Coturnix japonica: one gene and its partner. The protein of the gene in region 1 binds, or shares a complex with, the protein of each later gene. Links are inferred from orthologs where the notes say so. Each region holds a gene or a part of one and is shown in the gene's direction. Other genes may lie near its edges.

Evidence for each region. Proteins that work in one complex are often made in the same cells at the same time.
Region 2: STRN (region 1) and STK25 share a complex: the UniProt entries of both Homo sapiens proteins name them as parts of the core of STRIPAK complex. The link is inferred for Coturnix japonica from reciprocal best matches to the Homo sapiens genes STRN and STK25.

Annotation. Positions count from the first base shown.
Region 1 is NC_029518.1:28,841,898-28,845,882, forward strand, and holds the start of STRN (striatin), read left to right. Parts: upstream 1-1,181; 5' UTR 1,182-1,270; coding exon 1,271-1,555; intron 1,556-3,985. UniProt on the Homo sapiens protein: Calmodulin-binding scaffolding protein which is the center of the striatin-interacting phosphatase and kinase (STRIPAK) complexes.
Region 2 is NC_029524.1:3,907,272-3,911,483, reverse strand, and holds the start of STK25 (serine/threonine-protein kinase 25), read left to right. Parts: upstream 1-1,404; 5' UTR 1,405-1,534; intron 1,535-1,627; 5' UTR 1,628-1,662; coding exon 1,663-1,692; intron 1,693-4,212. UniProt on the Homo sapiens protein: Oxidant stress-activated serine/threonine kinase that may play a role in the response to environmental stress.

The DNA of each region.
Region 1 (3,985 bases):
TAGAGAGGTTACCCACCCAGCGCAGTCACATTTCCTCAGGGTGGTTAACAGAGCAACAAGTGTGAGTTCAGAACAGCCAGAAAGAAACAGGAAGCGCTGCTTGAGCAAGCAGGGTTGTGTGGGACCTGCTTCTCTGGGCCGCAGGCTGAGCATGGCCCACAGCATGTCTTGGCCTCACCGCTCTCCTCCTGCATCACTTCTCACGTGGAGATGGTGGTGCTAATGTAGGGTGTGGTAGTGGTGTGTGTCTCTTTAGAAAGCTCTTGTGCTACTGGAGCAGAGCAAACTATCATCTCTGTGTGCCTAATGGTTTGTGACCCCCCAGCCTGTGGTGTCAGCATCAGCCTCAGGAAGTCTAGTTTATCCTTTCAGAAGTGGTCATTTCCAAGAAATGCTGTTGTGCTCTCCTTGTCAGTGTTCTGAGCGGTAGGGAAGGGAAGCTGAAGTGCTGCTGGGATGGACTGGTAGCTTTCAGTGCTCTGGCAGAGCTGTGTGGGTGTGGCACTGAGGAACACAGTTAGTGGGAATGGCAGGGGTAGGTTGATGGTTGGACTAGATAGTCTTAGAGGTCTTTCCCAACCTTAATGATTCTCTAAGTGTAAGGTCCCGTGCTCAGAACATTGCCAAAACAGCAAGGAATTCACCAGCAAGGAACTGAAATGGTAGGATTTGATGGGGGGTTGTGGAGCTGCTGCAGGAAGCAGCCCTCGTTACGTCCCTAAAGTGGGCTGCAAGCGTGCCGAAACCACTGAAGCCAGGCTGTGAGGTGCAGATCTTTTGAATCAAAGGGCCCTGGGCAACCTGATCTAGTAAAGGTGTATGTTTGGTGGCCCTGCCAGGCAGGGGGGTTGGAACTACATGATCCTTGAGGTCGCTTCCAACCCGGGTCATTCTGTGACTCTGTGTGCGCTCACCCCGATCCCCGAGTGTCAGTGCGCGGGGAGGAGCCTCTGCCCGCGGCCTCGGCCCCGCTGTGGCAGCAGGGCGGAGCAGCAGCCCCGCTCCCTGCCGTCCTCTCTCCGCCCGCCCCGCGTGCCGCCGCCCCACTAAACTACGTTTCCCGTAGTGCCGTGCGGTTGGCGGCGCGAAGCTCGCTCTGCCTTGTCCCCTGCGGGCCGCGGTAGCAGCCGGCGGGGGCGGCTGTCAGGCGGTGACGGCGGCGGGCGGGACGCGCCCAGGTTGTGCCGCTGCCGGGACGCGGCTGGGCGCGGCGGCGGCGGCCGGTGTCGGTGTGGGCGGCGCTGCACGGCGCGGCAGACGCGGCCCGGCCATGGACGAGCAAGCGGGGCCCGGCGTTTTTTTCAGCAACAACAACAACAACAACGCGCTCCTGCTGCCGCCGCCGACGGGCGGGCCGGGGCTGGAGCCGGGCGAGGCGGCGGCGGCCGCGGCGGGAGGCGGCGGCGCGGGGGTCTCCTCCGGCGGAGTCGCCGCGCCGGTGTCGGCGTCGCGGGCTCAGTACAGCGTGCCGGGCATCCTGCATTTCCTGCAGCACGAGTGGGGCCGCTTCGAGGCGGAGCGCGCCGAGTGGGAGGCGGAGCGGGCGGAGCTGCAGGTAACGCCGCCACCCCGGCCCCCCTCCCCGCTCCCCAGTGCGCCCCCGGCCCGCGGGGGGTGGGGGGTGGAGCGCCTCCCCCCGGCCCCGGTTCTTCGCCGCCGCCCGGAGGGGCGTGACATGGCGGCGGCCTGCGGGGGGCGGCCGGGTGGGCCGTGGGCGGGAGGAGTCGGCTCCGCGACGCCGGGGCTGAGGGGCGCGTTGCGAGAGCTCCGATAGCGATCTTGTGGTTTAGGGAACTTGTGAAGTGCTGGCCCGCAGCCACCGCGGTCGGGCGCTCCGGGATGCGCGCCTCGTATTAACGCTAATAACAGAGGGTAATAACAGAGGGCGGCGCGGCCTGCACCGCGGTGCTGCTTCGGCTTTGTTCACGAGCAAATCTCGGTTGTAAATCTTAACCGCCCGCAGCGCCGGGAGCCCCTTGTGGGTCCTTCCCAGCGCCGTGCTCGGGGCAGGGAGCGCTTCCTCTTGGGTCTCATTCCCTTCCTCTTCCTTCCTGGCAGTTCTGTTCTTTCTGTTCCTTTCCTTGAAAGTATCGTCTTTGTCGAGAGTCTAAAGTCTGTTTAACGGCAAGAACCGCTTATCTCTTTCGTTGTTATTGTTTCATTTTTCTTCGTTTTCGTTTCAAGTGAGGAGGAAAGTCGGTTCCTTAGCCGTACTTCCAATGACAACATCAGGCAAACCCTCGTGGAGGGGAGTGGTGGCTGCTCCCCGTGTAGGAGTGCAAAGGAAGTGGCCATAAGCACAGGAGAGATGCGGTTTGTGTTTTAGCTTCAGTGATTTGGTGAAAGATTTGCTCGTAACATGGTTAGCGGGCACAGTGGCGGTGGGTTGATGGTTGGACTAGATGATCTTAGTGGTCTTTTCCAACCTTATTATTCTGTGATTCTATATGTTGCTCACAACATCCGGTAAATATGATGTAGAAAGTAACTAGTTCAACTGCACATAATAACAACGTTGCTCGTCGCACCCTAAGGTATTTATGAGACTCCACTGGGTATTTTTTCATTGCTGATAGGAATCTCACAGGGTGCTCTGGAGGAAAACAAGTTCCTTGGGACCAAAGCGATTCTGCCGATGCCCAGCAGCAGCAGAGCTGTATGTGCCCTCAGTGTCCCCCCAGAGGCCATTCCTGCATCCCACCTCCCCAGTGTCCCTCTGGGGAGCAGTGGGTGTCAGAGCTGAGCTAGCATGAGAAGGGGCCAAGCACATGCGTGATGTGCCAAAGTCATGCGCTGTCAGTGGCAGGGCAGGAGCACAACCCCAATACAAGCTGTTTGCTGGAACTCCTTCGACTCTTGCCAAAATGTCTCAATAAAGCTATAATTAGCTGTGACTGGCATCGCCACAAGCTGCAACAGCATTTATCTACTGCAGAGTCATGTTCAGGAAGGTGCAAAATTCTTGACTGTCCCTGCAGACATTGGGTGTGTGACGTCTGCCACGACCGTTCTCAGCCGAATGCTCTTTGATCCGTATGAGAGGTTTGTGTTGTGGCTTCGGCAGCAGCGAGGGGGCTCTGAGCAATGGTACATGCACAGCCCCACAATGAGCAGCATTAATTAAAGGCAGATTCCACGTTCCTCTTGAAGCCCTTCATGGGCCTGGATGCTGTGGATTGTTTAACAGAATAATGGCAGTCAGAGGTCATGCAGTTTCTGTCTCTCGAGATAAAGATGCAGTGCTCTGATTGTACTCCAAGGTCTTCTGGCCAGTGTAAATTAAATGCTAGGCTGTCTGCTCTCTTGGGAGGCCATGTGGCAGAGATCCTGCTTTGTACGGCATTCTCTGTGTGCCATACATTTTATGTGTAGTGCATCTTGCTCCTCAAAGGCAGACTTATGATCTCTGGTTCCTTACCACTGTGATACTTAAGTCCCTCAGATGTTGCTCTGCTTGGCTGCTGCTCTGTGCTCGACGGTTAGTTAAGCTATACTCTTTCTGAAAAAAACACCTTGTAAGTCAATCCTACTGCGATTTCCTGCCTTCCTTTTCTTCCCCTCTGGGCTTCTTTTCCTTTTCTCTTTTTTTTCCCCCTCCCTTTGCAGTTACTTGTGTGGAACTCCACGTGATGCTCAGCACACCTTCCTGTTGTGCTGCAGGCTGCCTGCTCAGGTGCCCCCCACCCTTGCTGCAGTTAAAAACAAACGAGTTGATATGCTGGGAAACTGGTTCTGTTCATACTTGCTGGCCTAGTTGCTGCTTTAACAAAGTTTTTTTTTTCTGCCTGTTTGCCTATTCTACTTATCATTTGCTTTCCCTGGCAAATATCTGTGTTTACTCTGATTTTCTAATTATTTTTCTTTAATCTTTAAAAATGGTTCTTGCCTCTGTTATATAATCTTCCCCATTCAGAGGCCTTCAATATTTATATCTCCGTGAGTACCATCAGCAAGCTGCATGTTTTGAGGCAGACTGAAAGCAGTC
Region 2 (4,212 bases), on another chromosome or scaffold:
AGGTAGGGAGTGAAAGCAGGATGCCACGCTGTTGATTCCAGCAGAGCACTTTGTTCTATTTCAAAGACTAGACGTGCTAATTTCCATAGCTGTGCTGTGGCTCCAGACAAGGCTGTCTCTCTGAGTGCTCAGTGAGTGCCAGCTCTATCCCCAGGTGCTGGCTGATGTGCAGCTCACCCTCATCACCGGCTCCTGTCATTCACCCTGTTTAAGCAGGGGCACCCTGGGGTCTCCTGTTATCAGGGCAGTGAGAAGAGACCAGCTGGGAAGGCAAAGTATCCCTGCAGATCCATCAGCTGTATCCATTCCTGCCTAAGCAGAGCACAGACGTCTGCGAGGGTTTAAGATTCAGCTTCATCAGCTGTTTTCTGCTGCTGCACAGGAACATGGTTTGGAAGAACAAGCGCTCTGTGCTCTCAGCTTGGAAGGAGCCTGGCTTAATTTGAGGATTAGTCACTGGGAGGGAAAAGATGCTGAGCCAACCCAGGAGTCAGCTCCACACGGAGCTTCACAGCTGCAAGAGCCACTCCTGCTTATTCCACTTCAGCAGCAGAATTGGGAGATAAAGGCCCTTTTCTTTGCTGAACACTCAAAAGAGTCTTAAGAGCCATGATATCAGCAGGGAAAGAGAGTCTCGCAACACTGAGCCTTGTAGTTATAGTCTGCAGGCAGGAACAAGAGTGCTGGAGCTCTAGCAGCCTGATGCAGCTTCTATACACCTAAAGGCTCTGGAAGGGGAACCATAGGAGCAAATGGGCTTCTGCAGCACTCAGTGTGTTCTTTTTGGCAGGGACAGGTTCCCTTTAAAGCTGATCCTTGTAGGAGATGCAAGGACAAGGTTTAAGGCCCGGAGCAGCTTATGGCTGCCATCACACAGCGGTGACTTCATGCCTACCAGGTGGAGTGCAGCCCATCAGCCCAATGCCTTGCACCGAAGGGACGAGCACTTCGGTTTGGAGCTCTGTCTCCCACTACTGTGGGCAGCTCATCGCACGGCTGTGCTCAATGCTCCAGCTGCCATTGGGGCCGAGCTGTTACCGTGCATCCCCACGGGGCCGCGCGGGGCTCAGCGCTGCGATCCGCGGTTGCCACCTGGTGGCAGCGACAAAACAACCCAAAGCGGGTCCGTGTTCATAGACCCACCCGGCAGCCCTGACCGCTCCCGGAGGCGGCCATTAGCCGGGCAGGGCCGTTCATTATGGCTTACCCTAAAGGCAGCCGTCACAAGCACCGACCCCCATCACCGACCCCTATCGCCGCTCCCCGACACCCGCCGCACGTGGGAGCTGTAGCCCGCACCTCCCCTTCCCTCGGCCCCTCCTTCCGCCCCGCGCACAGCCCGCCGGGACATGCAGTCCGTAGGGGCGGCCCCATTGTATCTCTGGGCGGGGCTAGAACTACATCTCCCAGCAGGCATCGCGGCGCGGCCTCCCCTCCCGCTTCCTCCCGGCGGCGCGGCCGAGCTCGGTGTCCCGGGGCGGCTGTTGTCGGCATGGCGGCGCACGGCGCTGCGCGGGGGGAACCAGGGCCGTAGGTGGGGGCTGGGGGAAGGGGGGACAACAAGGGGCGGAGCGGGGATGGCGGGGCGAGACGGGACCGGGCAGAGCCGCCGTGTTGTCTCCCGCAGCTGAACGCCGAGGAGCGCGGCCCCACGGATCCAGCATGGCGCACCTGAGGGACTTCGGCAGCCAGGTAAGGGCCGCCCCGTGCACAGCTCCCATCTCCCCGCTGCACATCGATCCCCGCTTTGTTTGCTGCTGGCTGCTGCCCACGGCCTTCATATGGGGCCGCTCTGCTGCACGGCAAACCGCAATGGACACCGGGCTCTGTAGCCTCAGTGCTGCCGGTCGGTGTCACCGTCGTAAGGTCTCCTCCATCCCGTGTGATGCCGTGTGAGGCCTCAGGGGCTGTAGGTACATCCCGCTGTTGTGATGGCACGAGGTGATGTCATGACTCAGGGCTAAAAGCTGGAGCACAGAATGGTATCAGCTCGGATCGGCTTTCTTCTGGGCTTGGCTGTGGGTATGTGTGATGGTTGGCAGGTGTCAGTGCATTGTGCTGATCCCTAGGGAGAAATCTGGGTGCTTTTCTTTATATAGAGTCATAGAGGAGACACTTGATGGCCATCTGCTCTAACACCCTGCACCGAGCAGGGACACATACAGCTCCATCAGGTGCTCAGAGCCCCGTCCATCCTGACCTTGGGTGTTTGCAGACATGGGGCACCACCACCAATCTGGGCAACCTGTGCCAACGCTTCACCACCCCTACTGTAAAAAACTTCATTATCAATATCCAGCTTGAGTCTTTCCTCTTAGTTTGGGACCGCTTTCCCTCATCCTATCACAGCAGGCAGAGTCTGTGTCCTTCCTTCTTACAGCCCTGCTTCAGGTACTGAAAGGCCACTCTCAGGTCCCCCCAGAGCCATAGCATCACAGAATGGCCTGGGTTAAAAAGGACCATAATGATCATCCAGTTTCAACCTCCCTTCCACAGGCAGAGTCACCAACCACCAGACCAGGCTGACCAGAGTATTTTATGCTTCTAGGTGTACTTCAGTGGTTTGAGGTGATGCTTCCTCCAAACCTTTCCTGGTTTAAAATTGATTTGCAGTGCATCTTTGCTTTGCATGCTGCCTTTCACACACACCGTTTCCTCAAAGTACTGGTGGAATTGAATGCAAATTTAGTGCCTGAATGAGTCACGCTGCAGGGAGAGAAACGAAGGAATGAAGAAGGATACTGCCTGCTCAAGGCAGGGAGCTGAGCTCTGTTGGTGCAGTGTCTTGCTCTGAGTAGAGCTTTGTTTTTAGGCAGCATTCAATAATAGAAGCTATCAAAGTTCTGGTTATCTAATCTGTACATTAGGCAGATGTCAGGTGTTTTATCAGAGTTTGTCATACTGTGATAACTCCAGTGCTAAAATAGGAAAGCAGTATGTGTTATCTATCCCTTCCTTGAGTCTCTTCTGGAATCCTCGGTGGCACCTCATAATCTGTTTAATTGAGGCTTCTTGGAAGAGCAGCAGGAATTGGCCTGAAGTTCTGTGTAGCAATTAGATCGGTGCAATGGGAAAGGCATTACATCAAATGTGTGATGATGATGGAAGGGCTGGCACAACAGAGAGGTGCTACAAAGGAAAGAAAGAAGATTGCTCACCTGGATCAGAAGAGTCTCAGTTTGCAGAGGAAAGCTTCACCAAGGAGAGACCTCCAGAAAAAGATCCTTCCCCAGAGGCAGTCAGCCCTTAAATGGGGTCTAAGAGAGATGCAGCCAGGCTGTACCCCTTCTAGTCTCACTGCTGCATTGCCTTCACCTGTGCATCCAGGGCTGGCCAGGTCCTTTGCCCAGGTGCTCAATCAATGGTTCAGGCTGGGACTCGACAGTTTCCATACATTCTGTTAGCCAAGTTTTAAGCAGTGGTGAGGAGGTGCTGTAAAAATAAAGAGACATACGACTTGGATTGGAATGTAAGGGCCTTCACTTGTCTCTGGTTCCTTATCTATTGCCCATGTGCCGGATTACCTTAGGCAGATCCCTAAGCTGCTTTATCTCAGTGCCTCTGCCTAGGCCAGCTAGGTACTCTCTTCTCTTGGTTGACCTTTGCTGTGTACATACAGCACAGTGGGCCTTTGTTGGGTGCTCTACCCTCTCGATGATGTATTTGCACTGCAGTCTTTAAAGCTCTGAATCCAGCTGTGTTCCCAGTTCTGTTGTTCCTGTAGGCAGCCTTGTTCTTGTCATGGTCTGTCTCCTCTACCACCCTTGCCTGAGCTGCTTTGTTCCTCAGAAAGCATGATACAGCTACCTCAAAGTATAGACGCTTCTTCAGGAAGCTGCCTGTGATGACAGAGCCTGCAACACAAACTGCTGGCTGTCCCAAAAGCTGCCTGCAGCAGCCAGTGCTCTTCTGTTTGATGTCCCATTGGAGAGTTACATCCCCAATTCCTTGATGTGCTGCACAGGGCTGAGAAGGAAGCAGTAGCTCATACCTTGTCCTTTCTTTTCTCATAGAAAAATGATCCAGGTAGGAGGACAGGGGGGTTTCCTTGCAGGCTTGCTGCCCAGAGATGGTTCTTTTTCTCTCCTTAGTGGCTGTTGGGATGAGTGGTGTTTCTCCAGCACTGCAGGTGAGGCCTGGGCCACTTTGCTGCCCCATCCTGCTGAAGTGGCCAACAGGTGGGAACTGCATGTAGCCAGGCTGTTCATTCTG